3 linked regions of the Rattus norvegicus genome follow. The protein of the gene in region 1 purifies or fractionates together with the protein of each later gene. This does not show direct contact. Links are inferred from orthologs where the notes say so. Each region holds a gene or a part of one and is shown in the gene's direction. Other genes may lie near its edges.

What was found.
Region 2: the proteins of Ptch1 (region 1) and Ccnb1 purify together in Homo sapiens (affinity purification with western blotting; 3 studies listed by BioGRID and IntAct, with this or other methods). This does not show direct contact. The link is inferred for Rattus norvegicus from reciprocal best matches to the Homo sapiens genes PTCH1 and CCNB1.
Region 3: the proteins of Ptch1 (region 1) and Grk2 purify together in Homo sapiens (affinity purification with western blotting; 3 studies listed by BioGRID and IntAct, with this or other methods). This does not show direct contact. The link is inferred for Rattus norvegicus from reciprocal best matches to the Homo sapiens genes PTCH1 and GRK2.

Annotation. Positions count from the first base shown.
Region 1 is NC_086035.1:1,553,058-1,559,034, forward strand, and holds the start of Ptch1 (protein patched homolog 1), read left to right. Parts: upstream 1-2,513; 5' UTR 2,514-3,261; coding exon 3,262-3,420; intron 3,421-3,489; exon of another isoform or gene 3,490-4,322; intron 4,323-4,966; coding exon 4,967-5,159; intron 5,160-5,195; exon of another isoform or gene 5,196-5,216; coding exon of another isoform or gene 5,217-5,751; intron 5,752-5,977.
Region 2 is NC_086020.1:33,651,571-33,657,322, reverse strand, and holds the start of Ccnb1 (G2/mitotic-specific cyclin-B1), read left to right. Parts: upstream 1-2,097; 5' UTR 2,098-2,198; coding exon 2,199-2,219; intron 2,220-2,702; coding exon 2,703-2,864; intron 2,865-2,958; coding exon 2,959-3,108; intron 3,109-5,441; coding exon 5,442-5,624; intron 5,625-5,752. UniProt on the Homo sapiens protein: Essential for the control of the cell cycle at the G2/M (mitosis) transition.
Region 3 is NC_086019.1:211,027,384-211,033,160, reverse strand, and holds the start of Grk2 (beta-adrenergic receptor kinase 1), read left to right. Parts: upstream 1-2,147; 5' UTR 2,148-2,282; coding exon 2,283-2,395; intron 2,396-5,777. UniProt on the Homo sapiens protein: Specifically phosphorylates the agonist-occupied form of the beta-adrenergic and closely related receptors, probably inducing a desensitization of them. Key regulator of LPAR1 signaling.

The DNA of each region.
Region 1 (5,977 bases):
ATCTAGGTGGTTACTTTGCCATACATTCAGCCAGCTTCAAATTAAAAAAAAAAAAAAGGCTGACCTTTGAACTCCAGGTCTCACCCTCAAGTTTCGAAAAAACAACCCAATTTCCAAGATCACGAAATGTGAAAGCTTAAATAGTAGTAGTCTGCCCCTTTCTGCTTTCTGCTGATAACCAAACTACTTGTCAGAGAGTCTTAACAGCTCAGCACTTTACTCGCTGTTAAGGTCTTTCCCCTCACCCCGCACGCCTTTGCAGAATTTCTCAGTTCTTCTGAAATTCAGTCATTGGAAAATCACGTGCTTCCAGGTGTTAGGACTTTTCTAATTTCCGTACTGGCCAGGCACCCAGGTCCTCTCCCTTATCCTGTGAGCATCCCCAAATGCATCTACTTGGTCTCTATTCCCTCAGATTCATCACCCCACCTCAGAAACCGAACGGATTCCGCAGGTTTGAGATTCAGGATGGCAAGGCGTCCTAGGGAAGCCCGGAAGGAGACAAGGCTAGAGGGGAGGCTGACTGGGCAGCGATGAAGGACTGCAACATGATGGGGGTGGGGGAGACCTCAACTCCCACCCCCACCCCCACCCCGGGCCCTAGGAGCCGGGTGCTCCGCTGGTGGCCGCGCGCCCCTGCGCGGCCCCTGTCTAACCGCAGTCGGCGCCGCTGAATGGAAGGGCCGGAACGCAGCCATTGGCCAGCAGCGGAGAAGCCGCGCGTTCATTGGGCAACGCGAGGGGGCCGGGCCGCCTTCAGGAATGTACTACGGCGTGCCCAGCACGTCTGTCCGCGGCGGTAGGGCGCGCACACAGCCCCGGGCCCGGGAAGGTTGTGCGTACTGTAATGAGGGCTGGAGCGTGCAGGTCAGCGCGCGGACCCTGTTACCTGTGCGCCCTCATCAAGAGCAGGCCGAAGACTGGAGCGCGCGGACGCACACTCACGCGGGTGCGCGGATGGGCCTCTTGCTCCGGGTCACGTGGTGGAGTAGGCTCCGCCTTCTCCCCGCTCCTCCCCCTTTCCCTCCATCTGGGTTCTTTCTTTCCTTTTCTTTCTTTTTTTTTTTTCAATGAACACACACCGTGTGCATCTTAAAGCCACACTGCCCCATTTCACGGGTTCATTTGGCTCCTCACTACTCCGGTTCCCTCTGCATTTCAAGTTGGAAAAAAAAATAGGACGTAACAGAATCTGGTGTTCCTGGGTCTGGTGTCTACTGCGGGAAGGAGGAACTTCAAACTTACAGGAGAATGGAATGTGCTTTCTTAAGAGTTGTTATTATTTTTCTTAAAGAGCGTAGTTGAGTAGACAATTTAAAGTGTTGCTGGCTCCAAGATTCACTCCCCTCCCCCACGTCGCATTTTTGTTGTTGTTTTGTTCAACAGTAAAGTGAATCCCCTGGATGTCTTGGTGACACTGGACGCAATATCAGGACAAATATTAGCGATCTATGAACAATATGTTTAAAATGAATTCCACATCAAAGCCTTTATTCTCTCCTACGTCACGCTATTAAATGTTACAGGATGCGTATCGAGCTTTATTTTTTAAAAAGCTTAAAACTTTCTTTTAAGAATGTGATTAATTAATGGGGGTCCAGATGAACCCTAAATAATCAAGAAATCTCTCATTTACATTTCTCTGGCCTGCTGAAAAGATTTGCTTCTTTTTATATGTTCAACATTCGAATAAAAAATCAGACTGTGTCTGGCTTCTCCTTATAGACGTGTTCAAATTGGACTGTGCTGTTGTGTATTTGGGGGGGGGTGCTAGGGGAGTGTGAGGGGTTTTAAAAAGGGGTGGCTTTTCCCAACATCTTTGCTCGCCTCTTTAACTTTCCATTTTGTTTATCTTAATACAAGGCGTTGTTCCCTGCAAGAGTCTAAGTCTTGCCTTTGGTTATAAAAGAAAAGAGGAGAAAAAAAAATTGGCACACATTGGCGCACTATCCACCACCCTGTCATTATTGGTGCAGGCCTGGGAATTCAAGCCGGACCTCCCAGTATTCGCTGCAGCTTGAGGCCAAAGTGCCTCTAAAAGGGTTTTCTTTGAGGAATCTCAGAAATTGTTTAAGCGCTTAAAAAAATATTACATATCCCCCCTGTCTATTACGAGGCAAATGCTCCTGTGTGAGCGTGTGCGTGTGTATGTGTGTGTGTGTGCGCGCGCTCGCTCGCAAAAAGCGTCTCAAAAAAAGAAGACACTGTTGAAAAGAAAAGAAATAAGAAAGAAAGGAGGGGGAAGCATTCCTTAATGGAAGTATTGCATGCGAGAAGGTTGGCGCTGGGCGAGCGCCCCCCCACCCCCAAGCCTGGGATGCACACACGGGGGTTGCCTACCTGGGTGGTCTCTCTACTTTGGTGAGCTGTTGCTAAGCAGCTAATAATAGTCATGTTTGCTGAGTAATTTCTGCCCTCCAAGAGCCAATCGCGTCGCAGAAACCCAAGCCATCTGACAGCCCCGGGGGCGGGAGTTCCAGCCTTTTTCTCTTTCGCTCGCTCTCTCCCCCTCCACCCCCTCCCCTCCTCCTCCTCTTTCTCCAAATGGAGAGAGTTCTTTTTTTTCTTCTTCCATCTCATCTATTGAGTCAAGGAGCTGCTGCGGCCGCTGCCCGCTGCACACACACAGAGCGGAGTCCTCAGGTCCCGGTAGCGAGAGAGGCGCGCGGCGCGGGGGCAGAATGGTCCAGCGGGTCGGTGAGGAGAACAAGAAAGCAGAGTCCGGGACCGAGCAGCCACCGCGAACCCAGCAGCCCGAGAGCGAGCAGCCGCTTCAGAAGCCGCCACCGCCAACTCCAGCCGCAGCCGCACCAGCAGCAGCAGCGGCGGCAGCCCCGGCCCGGCATCGCTGAGACCCGCCGGGCACCGTCGCGTCGCCCGCAGCGGGCGCCGAGGGAGCCGGCGCAAGCGGCGGGGGTCTGCGCGCGCCTTCTGCCGTGAAGGGGTCGCGGCGCGGGGCGGGGACGTCTGGGGGGGACTTGGGGACCGCGAGGCGCGCCCTGGAAGTGCCGGCTCTCGCCTTCCCGCGAGCTGGATGTGGGCAGCGGCGGCCGCAAAGACCTCGGGACTCACGCGCAATGTGGCAATGGAAGGCTCAGGGTCTGAGTCCCCGGCAGCGGCCACGGCCGCAGCACCCGCAGCGCCCGCCGTGTGAGCGGCAGCAGCGGGTCTGTCACCCGGAGCCGGAGTCCCCGGCCGCCAGCAGCGTCCTCGCGAGCCGAGCGCCCAGGCGCGCCCGGAGCCCGCGGCGGCGGCGGCAACATGGCCTCGGCTGGTAACGCCGCCGGGGCCCTGGGCAGGCAGGCCGGCGGCGGGAGGCGCAGACGGACCGGGGGACCGCACCGCGCCGCGCCGGACCGGGACTATCTGCACCGGCCCAGCTACTGCGACGCCGCCTTCGCTCTGGAGCAGATTTCCAAGGTGCACTTCTGTCCCCTCCTCCCTCTTCACTTTCCCCTCTTCTTCCTCCTTGGAATCCCTTCCACACAGACACACACACACTCTCCTGAGAAAGCAGCAAAGTGAAGGTTGAAAATTTCAAACTCTCCCTCCGGACTCCGGAGGAAAGGGCTGTCTGAGGTCCGCAGGGGGTGGAGGGGTGCGTGTGTGTGAGTGTGTATGTGTGTGTGGTGTGTGCGCGCGCACACGCCCTCCCTGGTGTGCCTTTTCCGGAGCTTTGGAAACCGTCCGGAGTGGACCACCTCCAGGGCGGCCGCAGTGCGGCACTGCCCCGGGCCCCAGCGCCCTTCTCCCGCGCCCCTGCCCACGGTTGCAACCTAAAGTTCGGCGTTGCCACATTTCTTAACCTCTTTGAGGGGGAGGCGGAGTGGAGAGAGGCGGAGAGAGACAGAGGGGAGGGAGCCAAAGTAAAGGTGGTTTCCTTTTTTGGCAGCCGGTTCTGCTTTCGTTGAGCTTGAAATCTTTGCTCCCTTAAAAATTATTCTCGGGAGAGGACGTCCCTTCTCTTCTAGGTCTTGGGCCGCCTCTTCTCCCAGCCTGCCGGGGAGAGGGGCAGTTGTAAACAAGTTGCCACCTTAAATCTTCGGTACGGGTGTGCTGAACCGCCGGGTTCATTGTGTTTACGAGGCTGGCTGAAATGTGTGGAATCCGGGGAAGGCAAGCACCTAGCCTGGGGCCCGCAGGGGCCCTGGCCAGCACCGGGGCTCCGCCGCCCCGAGAACAGCCTGCGCCCAGCCAGAACCCCGGTCGGCGCCGGCCTGGGCCTCTTCCCTGTGCACTCGGCATTTTTAAAGAGTTCACCAGGAGGGAGTGGGAGAGGAGGGAAAGATCCTTGTGGCCGCCCACTTCCGAGCACAAATAGTGTAAGTTGCAGATGGCTGCCGCACTTCCTAACTGAGCTCCCGCGGTGTCTCCCAAGGCTGTGGAAAAGTGTGTAGAGCGAGCTCTGGCTGCGGGGCTTACCACGTGGACCTCGCTTACAGCCACACCAGGCCGGGACCAGATGGGCCACGGTCGCTGTATATTGTCCCTAAGTGCGCTTGCGCCCTTTACCCGGCCTCCGGGGCACCGGAGGAAGCCACAGGCTGGAGCAGGGGAAGGGGGGACGTGTTCTGGGGGTTCTTTGGTGTTGGGCTTCTCCGCTAGGATCACTCAGGCCCTCCCTCTCCCAAGTCCCCGGTACTAAACCCTGGCTGCTGTTGACGGCTTCTCTGTTAGCCTTTCTCCCCAGCGTCCTAAGTCTCATTCAGGGTTAGTGCTCAGGCCATGCGTGGGGGCGCCCCCTGGTCCCTAGAGTGCAGTTCCCACGCTGCAGTCTCACAGATTTACAACCAAGGCCCCCACGCCTCCAGGGATCCCTCTGGACTGTCCTGGTTCCAGTCCCGTGGGCGAGTCACTGCACCACGGGCGCCCACGCCCCCCACTACTATCCAGAGGGGATCCCCTAGCGGGTGTGCGGAGACAGCGATTCCCCGGCGTTCACTCCTCCCTTCTGCTTCGTCCCCAGGGGAAGGCTACTGGCCGGAAAGCGCCGCTGTGGCTGAGAGCGAAGTTTCAAAGACTCTTATTTAAACTGGGTTGTTACATTCAAAAGAACTGCGGCAAGTTTTTGGTTGTGGGTCTCCTCATATTTGGGGCCTTCGCTGTGGGATTAAAGGCAGCTAATCTCGAGACCAACGTGGAGGAGCTGTGGGTGGAAGGTAAGCGACCCGGCGCCGCTAGTGCGTCCTTCGTCTTCCTTCCCTTTACTGCGTTTGATGAAGATATTTGCCAGCATCCACCTAGAGCCTCCCTGTAGCCAACGAAGTCCTTGCCCGCACCAGGGGCGACTGTTTATTGTTTGCATGGCTGGCCAGCAGCCAGGCCCGCCCGACAAAGGCCGCGCTGTAATCTACTCGGGGCGCTTTGCTTTGCTAGGTGTGGTGGGAGAGAGTGGCGGGGGCGCAGGGGCCCTGCGCGGGATGGACCACTCCGCAGGGCCGTGGGGGTGGTCCCCTAGACCCGCCACAGCCGCCTGCCTGGCTTTGGCCCGGGAGCCGCGGCCCGGGAAAGGCCTCTCTGATCCGGGCGCCTGGGCTCAGCTTCTTCCCCCCCACCCCCCACCCACCCACTGCGTCTGCGGAGAAAGGAGAGGGGGGTGGAGGGCAAGGCCACCCCTCTGGCTGCAGGGAGTGTGCGCGCCCCCGGGGCGCGCAGGGGGCGGGCGCCGCGCGGGCCTGCAGAGGCGGCCGCGTGTGTGGTCCTGTTTTTGGACCGCTTTCAACTCTGGGGGAAAAAAACATTTGTCTCAAGGTACAAAAGGCGGGGGGGGGGGTAGTTGAGAAAAATAGTAAAGCACAAACTGGAACGCATGTTTGCAAAGTAGATTAATGTTTTCTCGCGAGTGGGGGGCTTTTTAAATGGAATTATTCTTGGGGGAGGTTGCGTTTGTCAGGCTTGCAAGAAAGAGAGGTGTGTGTGTGTGTGTGTGTGTGTGTGTGTGTGTGTGTGTGTGTGTTTTAAAAGAGCGCAAGTTTGA
Region 2 (5,752 bases), on another chromosome or scaffold:
AACGTGTTATATCCTGAAGACACCTCCCCCTTATCCTGGTATATTGCTCCTGCTGACCTTTAGTTATTTATCCTACCTCAGACCCTCAGTGGTCCCTCGAGGGAGGGAGGATGGGGCTTCATGAGCCCCGTGATGAAATACCGATAAGCCCAATCAGATGGTTTTGTACAGGTACCTGTAACTGCAGTGAGTTCGTGAGCATCATTTTGCATCACACCTGTTACGTGACTAAACACACATCCACTCACCCCAGATAGGGAGCTCAAGACAGACCAAAGTATGGATACCACCAAAGTCCAACTTGGTGAACCAAAGAGTTTTATTATAGTTTCTCGCGGAAGCAGAAATGACTCGAAGACAACTGCGTCACCTAGGCCCACCCCAGCATAGGTGACAAGCTCACAAACGCTGGGAAACCTGGAGCACAGTGCTTCAAGCAAGTGTGAGAAGTGCTTGTCTTAAATAAAACAAACCAGGTTCACACACACACACACACACACACACACACGTTGGGGGATAAGGAGGCAATCCTGGGATATAGTATTTGCTTACTAAATATATTAATTTGCATAGCAATGATTACTAGAGGGCTAGGGATACCTCTCCATTGGTAGTGTTTGTCCGCCATGCTTGAAATCCTCGCTTCAATCATGAGTGTGACATAAATCCAGTGTAAAGTTGTATGCTGTACTCTCAACACTGAGGAGGTAGAGGAGGGAGAACAGGAGATTTAAGGTCATTCTCAGCTACATAGGGACTTCGACCTGTGATGTATTTTATAAAACCAAGGATATGTTTTACAGAGCACAGTATGGTGTGGTGGGAGGGAATACCTCAGTGGACCGATGCTGAAGCATATACCCTTCACACCAGATACCAGCCATGATGGGTTTAGTACAGAATAGTTTATTTGGGGGCATGGGAAAGGGAGTTGAGAAAGGAATAGAGACAGAGAAAGAGAGGGGACAGAGGACAGAGAGAAGGGGGAAGGGAGGGGAAGGGAAAGGAGAGGAGGAGAGAAGCAGTTCTTTTTTTATAGCAAACTGGCCTATCTGGCTGTTGCTAGGTAACTGTTGGGCAGAGCATAGAAGGAATGCCAACAACCTGTGCTACAAGAGATCCTGGTCAACAAATAAATAAATCCTCATTGATGTTACTGAAATTTAATGTGGAAAAAGATTTCACTGAAGTTATTTAGCCTTAATAAGGTGTCTGAGGTAGAAGGATGGAGTGCTGCATTATGGATTCTTGTTAAATAGAATAGATTCTACAAAACTGTATTTTTGAAGTAATCTTAAACAGGAGCGAAATTAAGCATGTGGCACATTTTCTTTTGTCCCTGGGGCAGTAGCTATTGGGGCGATTGGTATGTTAATCTATTTGCTTAGGCTATAACTTCATGCTATAAACCTCAAAATCCATCCCAGGCAGCGGTCGGAACAATCATACTAAAGACTGTCTCTGCTTCAAAGCTTTCGCGAACTCTTAAGATAGTACTGGCACTTCTGTAGATGAGGATGAGAAACAGTAAGTAGGGGCTGGAGAGATGGCTCAGCGGTTAAGAGCACTGACTGCTCTTCCAGAGATCCTGTTCAAATCCCAGCAACCACATGGTGGCTCATTCATAACCGTCTGTAATGGGATCAGATGCCCTCTTCTGGTGTGTCTGAAGACAGCTACAGTGTACTTATATATACTAAATAAATAAATCTATTTTTAAAAAGAGAAACAATAAATAGGACAGCAAAACTGTTATGCGTGCTCCAGAAACGTGGCGGCCCCACAGTCATTTTCCTAAGGTCCAACGGAGTTGCCTTGGACAGCACACAAGTGGGCATTGCCGGCCAAGCCTACCTAAAGCAGGTGGCAGCAAAGAGGCGAGTGCGCAGGCGCAGAGCTTGACCTCACGAGGGGTGGGCGGTGCTGCCAGCTACAGCCTCGCTCTGGCCCCACCCCTCGCCGAACTTGGGATCGCGGGATCGCCCAGGAAACGCATTCTACGGGAACCCGCAGCACCAATGGGAAGAGAGCGAGTGCCATGAACTGACCAATGAGGAGGGAGCGGCCCGGGGTTTAAACCCAGGCCCGGCAGACTCCTCCCGGCGTGCTGTGGGGGAACGGCTGTTAGTGTTTAGGTGTGGGCAGCCAGAGGTTAGGGTGTCTTCTCAGATCGGCGAACCTCTGCTTCAGGAGGAGCCATGGCGCTCAGGGTCACTAGGGTGAGTCGGGCCGGGCGCTGCGGTCCTCGCTGTGGGAGAAGGCCGCGGCGGCCAGGAGGGGAAGGGGATGCCCGGAAGGTTCCGGCCAATGGAGGAGCTAAGGACCCTCCCTGGAGGGTGAAAAAAGACTTCGGGACATATCTGGGCTGAAGGACTTAGAGGGAGTAGGGTGGTGTGCTTTTAATGATGAAGGCCCAGAGTGAATCTTCCCAGAGTCTGTCTGCCCAGAGTCTTCCCAGAGAGCTGTCTACAAGGAGGCTTTCATGATTACCTTTCCGATGTAAATTTCACCGTGTTTAGGATTGCTTGGGACTTAAAGGGAAATTGGATAATAGGTGAACGTTTTGGGTGGAAACCTGCTTGTCAGGGCTGGAGGATAGATCCTAGAGCCCTTGCTTTCCATAGTGGGGTCCCGCCTTAATTAACCCATGACTTCCTGGAGCCGCCATGGATCCTCTCTCAAGTGGTTCTTACTTCTTTCAGAACACGAAAATTAACACAGAAAATAAGGCCAAGGTCAGCATGGCAGGCGCCAAGCGTGTGCCTGTGGCAGTTGCTGCCTCCAAACCCCTGCTGAGATCGAGAACTGCTCTTGGAGACATTGGTAATAAAGTCAGCGAACAGTCAAGAATACCCCTCAAAAAGGTAACTTATCTTCCTGGTCCAGTTATCCTGAAAAAGCCCATCTTCTAGGTGTCACCGTTGGAAAAACATTCTGTTCTTTCACTTTCATCCACAGGAAACAAAAAAGTTAGGTTCTGGAACAGTTACTGTTAAAGCCCTACCAAAACCTGTGGACAAGGTGCCAGTGTGCGAACCAGAGGTGGAACTGGATGAGCCTGAGCCTGAACCTGTTATGGAAGTGAAACACTCTCCTGAGCCTATTTTGGTAAACTTAGCATTTTAAAAAGTGTATTCCTCCTCTCTGACTTCATTTCATGTTGATGCACACGACGGCATTTAAATATATTGTTTATTGAGTGGTTAGTGCATTTTACGTGCACTAACAGCTCTAGGGTAAGTATTAGCACTCTGCTTCAGATGGTGGCAGATAAATATGGTAGGGCTCTTGTTTTATGTAGACAGTCTCACTGTGTGCTCCTGGCTGGCCTGGAACATAGAGGTTTGCCTGCCCCTCGAGGCCTGGGATCCAGAGGTGGCATAATCATTTTCTTTTTTGTGTAACTGTATAGCTTCCGCTGTCCTTGAGTTTGAGATTCCCACCTCTCCAATGCTGGGGTGATATATTCAGGCTAGATCTTTTAATTGGTTTCTTTAAAAGGAAAAAAAAATCTCAGACAGAAATAAGATTAATTAAATAGGGTCCTTGGTAACACATCTTCCAATCCCAGCATTCTGGCCTAGAGGCAGGTGGGCCTCTAAGTTCAAGGCGGGCTGTGTATATAGTAAGATCCAGTCCAGACAGAGCTGCATCTAGTGAAACCGTTTAAAAAAAAAAAATAGGGCTGGAGAGATGGCTCAGAGGTTAAGAGCACTGACTGCTCTTCCAAAGGTCCTGAGTTCAAATCCCAGCAACCACATGGTGGCTCACAACCATCTGTAATGGGATCTGATGCCCTCTTCTGGTGTGTCTGAAGACAGCTACAGTGTACTTATATATAATAAATAAATAAATCTTTAAAAAAAAAAAAGATGATGGATTAATGTTGATGGGTTAACATTTAAGCCCCAAATGGAAGTTTACCTGAGTTCGTAGCCTGTTAGATTGTGTTTAGCATAGGGATGCTCTGGGTTCAGTCCTTGAGTACTAAAACCACACACACACACCGCCAGATTTTACTACTAGGTGTGATGGTGCATGTTTGTGATTTTAGTACTTCCTCTAAGGCAGGAGGGTTGAATGCTCAAGGCTAGCTAGGGCTCTCTGGGTTTGTAATCAAGAACTTGTATTCACCTGAATAATTGATTAATTGATAATTGAAGGCTTGGCATTCTTTTGAATTGACCTCACATGATGCTGATGAATAAATGGCTTTATTATCACTTACCTGCTCGTTTCCTTTGACTTGCCTTACATGTTAGTATCTATAGAGTCCTGTGTGTGCCCAATCGTATGTATCTGAAGAGAGACTCCTTTGGAGCTGGAGTAACAAGCATTTGTGAGCCACCCAGTGTGGATGCTAGGATCTGAATTCTGGTCCTCATGGAGTATCAAGGGCTCTTTAACTGCTGAGACAGTTCTCCAGCTCCCATGCTCTCTTGTATTTTGTGTGAGAATACACAGAGAAGTCAGAGACAGCTTTTTTTTTTTCCCCCTTCGGAGCTGGGGACCGAACCCAGGGCCTTGCGCTTCCTAGGCAAGCACTCTACCACTGAGCTAAATCCCCAACCCCTTAGAAGACAGCTTTTGAGTCAGTTCTTCCACCATGTGGATCTCCTGGGGGTTGAACTCAGTTGTTAGGCTTAGCAACAGGTACCTTTACCCGTCTTGCCAGCCCACTTCTTCGTACTTTAAACTACCTGAATCTAAATTGGGGCTTATTTTTTTATGAGACCAGATCTTGCTGGCTTGCAGTTTGCTATGGAGACCAGGCTGGCTTCAACTCAGAGACCTGCCTTCCAGGTGCTGGGATCAAAGCTTATATTAACCATGCCTGGCTCTGATTGTTAGAACTGTTTTCTGATTGTTAGAATTGTTTGTTTTTTTTAAAGATTTATGTATGTGAGTACACTGCAGCTGTCTTCAAACACACCAGAAGAGGACATTGAATCCCGTTACAGACGGTTGTGAGCCACCATGTGGTTGCTGGGAATTGAACTCAGGACCTCTGGAAGAGCAATCAGTGCTCTTAACCTCTGAGGCATCTCTCCAGCCTGCCATTTTTTGTTTGTTTGTTTTGTTTTGTTTTGTTTTGTTCTATGGTTTGTTTTTTTCTTCATGAGTGAGATATCAGTTTGCAATGAGTGCAGGGCCCAGGGAGATCTGAAGAGGTCGTCAGATATCCTGGAACTAAGGTTGAGTCACCTGGTTTTTTAATAGAAAACCAGCCCTTGGCAAAAGCAGCAAATGTTCTTTATAGCTAAAACCATCACTCCAGCCCAGTATGAATCATTTCCCAAAAAGAAATTGGGGGAAAGAATCTGAAATACCTTTCGTTTAATAAAATGAATTACATTTATTTAGAATGACTTACTGAATTGGGGATGATGACTTTACGCTCCCATGATGTAGCATGTTTCATGAAGTCTCTTTTCTTCAAGGTTGATACTCCCTCTCCAAGCCCAATGGAAACATCTGGATGTGCACCTGCCGAAGAATATCTGTGTCAGGCTTTCTCCGATGTGATTCTTGCAGTGAGTGATGTAGATGCAGACGATGGTGGTGATCCAAACCTCTGTAGTGAATATGTGAAAGATATCTATGCTTACCTCAGACAACTGGAGGTCAGTATTGTCATTAGCGTCTGCCTTTACTAACTGCAGCTACCCTAAGCCCTTACTCTTGCTATTTAAGATCCTCCTGGATCAGTATTCCTGGTGCTGGAATTAAAGGGAGATGCTGCACTATACCT
Region 3 (5,777 bases), on another chromosome or scaffold:
GTTATCGTTCATTCATCTAACCTGGCTTGGGCAGCAGAAAATTGGGGTCCAAAGTGCCCCCTTAAGATTTTACACTTTTGGGGCTGGGGATTTAGCTCAGTGGTAGAGCGCTTACCTAGGAAGCGCAAGGCCCTGGGTTCGGTCCCCAGCTCCGAAAAAAAGAACCAAAAAAAAAAAAAAAAAGATTTTATACTTTTGCTCTTACTCCCTCTTACCTTCCTTTCCCCCTCTTGCTCTTTGTTCTCCTCTGTTCTTGCCCCCATTCTCCCCTCCACGTACTCATGGCCAGCCACCTTTCTTCTCTTTTTCTACTCTTCTCTCATTAAACCTCTCCATGTGGGGGGAAAAAAAAGATTTTACACTTCTGACAGGCAGTGGTGGCTCAGGCCTTTAATCCCAGCACTTGGAAGTCAGAGGCAGGTGAATCTCTGAGTTTGAATTCAAGGCCAGCCTGGTCTACAGATCGAGTTCCAAGACAGCCAGGGCTACACAGGGAAACCCTGTCTTGAAAAACCAAACCAAACAAAACCAGACAAGACTTGACAGTCTCAAGTGGGTATAGTGGCATACACCTTTGACCCCAGCACTTGGGAGAACAAAAAGGAAGCAGATTTCTGAGTCCGAGGTCATCCTGGTCTACAGAGTGACCAGGGCATCCAGGAGTACACAGAAAAACCTTGTCTGGAAAAACCAAAACCAGAAACAAAAACAAGACTTTTTATTCTTGGTAGCTCTGGGGGACTAGACTAAGCTGTTGTTTGGCCTTAAATGGACAGTAATCCCATCAGATCTAGATTTGAGGACAACCATTCTGTTCGGAGCCTGCATCAGAGGGCAGCGGTTATAGGAATCCTGAGAGATGGATAGGTCAGTGGTGACATAGGAGGGGGGGCATAGTGGCAGGTGGGGAAAAGCAGTCTGGGTTTAGACCTGGCTGTCTAGGGATGCCATCCACTGACACCCCTCCCCCCCAGATTTGTTTACACCTGAAGTAGTCAAGAAGTCAAGGGAGTGGGGGTGCTTATTTTGTTGGACATGAGTTGATAGGAGAATTAGTTTCTAAGTGTCCAAGACTGAAGTGGGAAGACTGGGTTGAAAGTGTCCTTGGAAAGCAAAGAGGTGCTCTAGCTTGAGACCAGGTCTCACTGTTTAGCCCTGGCTGGCTTTGGCTTTACAGAAATGCACCTGCTTTTGCCTCCCATGTGCTGGGCAGACAGAGTAGGAAGGAGTTGGCTAAGGAAGAAGGCACACAGGAGGGATCAGCGGGTAAAATGCTTGCCACCAAGCCTGAGGACCTTGAATTCTATCCCTAGAGACCTATGTGGTAAAAAGAAAGAACTGACTGTCAAATTGCCTGTCTTCGAACCTCCGTCTGGGCATACACAATAAACAAACAAACATATAAACAATAGGTTCGGCCCTCATCAGAGTATGGTTTGATGGACTATGCCTTTAATCCATTTCAGCCTTTGGGAGCAAGCAGATCTCTTGGGCAGCCTGCTCTACATAGTGAGTTACAGACTAGCCGAGGCTACACGGGTAAACCTCTCTAAAACAAGAACAACAACAAATGTTCGTGGTCAGGAGGGTGGCCCAAGATCTGAGTCTGGGGTCCTGTTGGGAGTTTGAAGTCCAGGATTGTCATCCAAGGTCTGCGGTCAGGTCAGGTCAGATGATGATCTTGAGAGAATGTTCAGAAATTTGAGTATGGGGTCTTGATCGGTGTCAGGATTCTTGTTATGATCCACGGTCTTGGGTAAAGGCCCGAGTAGGAGCGTGGAGTTTAGCATCCGGAGATGCGATCAAGTTAGTGGCCATGGCTTGGGGTCTTGGGTCGATCTGGTGCAAGACTCAGGTAACAACAGTCCAGGACTGAGACTCGTGTCCCGGACACGAGCGGTGCGGCCTCTAGGGGGTGCTGCGGTCCGCCCGCCCGCCCGCCGCCCGCCCGGCTCGGCCCCTCGGCGGCTCGCTGGCGCTGTGCGCGGCAGGCGGGGCCGGAGGCGGCGGCGGCAGCTCCGGGGCGCGGGCGGGCGGGTGGTGGTGGCGGCGGCGGCGGCGGCGGCGCCCCGACTGCAGTCCCGGCGGGAGCGGAGCGCGAGCCGGGCCGGGCCCGAGCCGGCGCCATGGGGCGGCGCCGCCTGTGAGCGGGCGACGAGCGAGGACCGGGCGGGGCGGCGGCGGCGCCGAGGCCGACAAGCCGCGCGGGCCGGGCCGGGCCGAGCGAGCGGGAGCGGAGCGGAGCCTCGGGCGGCGGGAGGAACAGCGCCGCCGCCGCCAAGATGGCCGACCTGGAGGCGGTGCTGGCCGATGTGAGCTACCTGATGGCCATGGAGAAGAGCAAGGCCACGCCGGCCGCGCGCGCCAGCAAGAAGATCCTGCTGCCAGAGCCCAGGTGAGCCCGCCTGTGCCGGGCCCCACGCGCCGCCCCGGGATACAGTGCCCCAGGGACCCCTCTCTCCGTCCTAGGTTCCGGGGACCCTCTGCCCCAGGACCCCACTATCCCGGCTGCCCCATGACCCAAGAACCCCTTCTACTCCGGGGACCTTCTGCCCCGGAGACCCCATTATCCTGGCCGCCCCAGGACTCAGAGACTTCCTCTGCCCCTGCCGCCGCAAGCTTGGTGTCTGTGAGCACAGAGCGCCCCAAGTCCAAGCTCCTAGCCGCGTTCCCCGGGCCGCCTTGCCGCTTCCTGTATCTCACTGCCGGGCCTGGTCGCTGTCAGCCCCAAGCTCTGCTGCAGCCTTCATTCCACCCTGATGCTTGGCTCTGCCCTCTACCCTCTGTGTCCTCTTGTGGTTCCCTTCCTCAAGTCTGCCTCTGTTTACCCGATTGTATCACACAGTCTGTTGCTCCTGCTCCCAGCACCCACTCACCCCCGTTGGTGTTCACTACCCTTATCCACTCCCCTTGGAGTGGGTAACACTCTTGTGAGGTTTGTGGAGTGAGGAGGACCACTCTGGAGACTTTTTTTTTCTTTTGCTTTCGCCTACGGTGGGGTCACTATGAGATTGGGTTTGGGAGTGTTTTCTGGGGACAGTGCAGTGTACCGTCCTTGAGGGCTGCGCTCGGGTGAGGGAAGTCCCTTCTTTACCCTTTTCCCCACATGTGGTTCCTTGTGGGTACTTTTGACCAGGGGACCTCCCATCCTACAGCAACTGGACGTGCTGCCACCTCTCTGCAAGACAACTGATGTCATCGCACCTGGTATCAAAGTTTAAACTGTCCAGGATGTGGGTGCAGAGTAGGGCAGGATGTGAGAGGTGTAGCTGGGGCTTGTCCAGTATACTATGGCAAATAGACTTATCTTCCCATGTGAACTGCTCAGGAGATCAGAGAGTGAGTGAGGCAGGTGTAGTTTTGTTCCCATAGAACAAGGTATGTGTGAGAGAGCTCAGACTTGGATGGCTTGTATAGTGTCACCTGGGTTATCCACAGTGGCACCTGGCCTCCACATCAGGGCTCTCAGCTTCTGGTTTTATGTTTCATCCTGACCTGAAGGGCCTGGATGTCCTGCATCTGGAAGAGATGTGTCCACCCACCAGGATGCCACATGGTGGGTGGTGAGGCCAGTCCCTCCAGTTTCTTATACCAACCCCTTTAGCAGCCAAGAACTGGCCCTGATTTTACTGCCATTCTATGTCATAGGACATGGGGCGAGTTTCCCCCCCACCCCCAGTGGGCAGTGTGAAATAGGCCTCTAGTGGCCTCAGTCCTTAGAGTGGGGTGGGCAGCTTGCAGGCTTGCTGCTGTGCCTCTCACTGGGCCCCTCCTCCAGTGGCTGCACACTGGGTTTCAGTTTGACTGAGAACGGTGCCCAGTAGAGGAAAAATTGGTCTGTGTTTTGAAGAGGCCGTTGGGCCCCCCTTTTTTCTAAGACATTTGCAATCAGATTTCTCAAAACAGGAACTAGACTGAGTGTCAGCTGGGGCTGTCTAGGGGCAGCAGCAGTTAGGATGGAAATGAGTTCAGAAATGACAAAACTTAGAGGGAAGAGTGGGGGAGGTGCAGTCAGCATCTAGGGTACTTGTTGAGCTCTCCTGGGTAGCCACAGCTGTGGGATTCTAATGCAGGTGGGAGGTCTGCAAAGTTTGAGGTGGTGCCTTTTCTAGAACTCTCCATGTCTGGATAGTCTTTCCCCAGAACGAATTGCTCTTAATGGATGCCCACCTCAGGTCGTCTCCCCTGCTGGTGTTCAAGAACCCTGACAGATGATGATCTGTACCTCTCTCTCTTTTTACCTTTTCATATGGCGGCAGCTATGATGTGATGCGATCAAACAAGAATGGAAAGTTTAATAATTCATTATTTATTTTGACATCTGTCATCTCAGTTGATCCAAAAACCAACATGTGAAATTGGCAAGGCCAACAGTTACCAGGATGGGGTGATTTCTGTGAGCAAAACTGAAGCTGGCTTGCAAGTTCTAGGGAACGACACCACAGGTGCAGGGTCACCATCAGTCGTACATTGTTGGGCCAACCGCTCAATCTGTGAATGGTTAGGAGCCTCTAATTCTGGTCACTGGTGTGCTCAGAAGAGTCGCCTTGCAGTAGCCATGGCCCTAGGCATGCATGCTCCCCCACCCCGCCCCCGCTCCCGTCCCCCCACCCCACCCCCGCCAGTGATGGAAAGAAAGCAGGTCCCCTTCATGGTGTACTTTGCGCACTCTCAAGGCAGAGATCTCTTGCCCTTGAAGGTGGTTACCATCATGTCTCAGGTGTGCCCAATATGTCCCAATGTGTGGAGTGTCTTGTCTTCACAACTCTGGGACTCTGGCTGGCCCAGCAGACTGCATTTCTCTCATTTACAACCGAGAGGCTTTGAGGCTTGTCACATAGAAGCTCTGGGATTGGATCACAGATCTCTGGAGTCCTGACCACAGTACTCTTCCTACCTGTGCTTTGTCTCTTCCTCCCAGTCCCGTAGAACTGCTTTGTGACCAGAATCTGAAGCCACTTGTCGTGGGAGCTTGTGGGTCTTGGGTAGTGGCCTGAAAGTAGCAGGGCAGTTTCTGGTATCATCAGTGGTTACAGTATACAGGACCCAAGCCCTTCGCCAGTTGCTGAAACAGAAACAGGCTGCCCTGGCAGAGCTAATGCACAGATAGAAGGACAATCCCATGCCAGGGCCTCCATTAGATACAGGTCCTGCTTCCCCACCCTGAAGCTAGAGCCAGGTAAAGAAGCAATGGGGTTCGTTCCTGTGCCCGTATGCCAATGGGAGTTGTTCCACTTTGGGGTAGGCCATCTTGGCAGCCTCTCTGTGGCTGGTGCCCAGGGTTGTGGCTTGGCTGAGCTTGGCTGGCATCGCAGCTCTTATTTCCCAGGGTTGGGGACTGGGAACTGTTGGGCATAGTGCCACTGTAACTTGGCAGAAAGATATCCCCTTCCTTCTGTCACCTAGAGGATCTGGGGAAGCAGACTCATTCCCAACCTTCTCTCAGGTGGGGGTTCTGTATGGATAGAACACAGGGGTCCTGGCTTCTCACTCCTGCAACACTGGCTCACACTGGATCCAGGCACACTTGTCCTGACTGGACGTGCCTCAGTTTATCTGCCACCAATGACCTCCCAGGGCTGTGGGGCTGAGGTGTGGTCCTCGCCATACAGATGCTGTTGCCTCTTTTCCAGCAGCTGCTGCAGTCCTGTAATTAGCATCATTTGCTTAATATGACCACTAAGGCCCTGTGTAATTAATCTCAGGGCTCCTGGGTGAGGAGCCTTGCCTGGGCGGTCCCGGGAGATGTCCCTGCTCTCCCCAGTGACAGTGGCAGC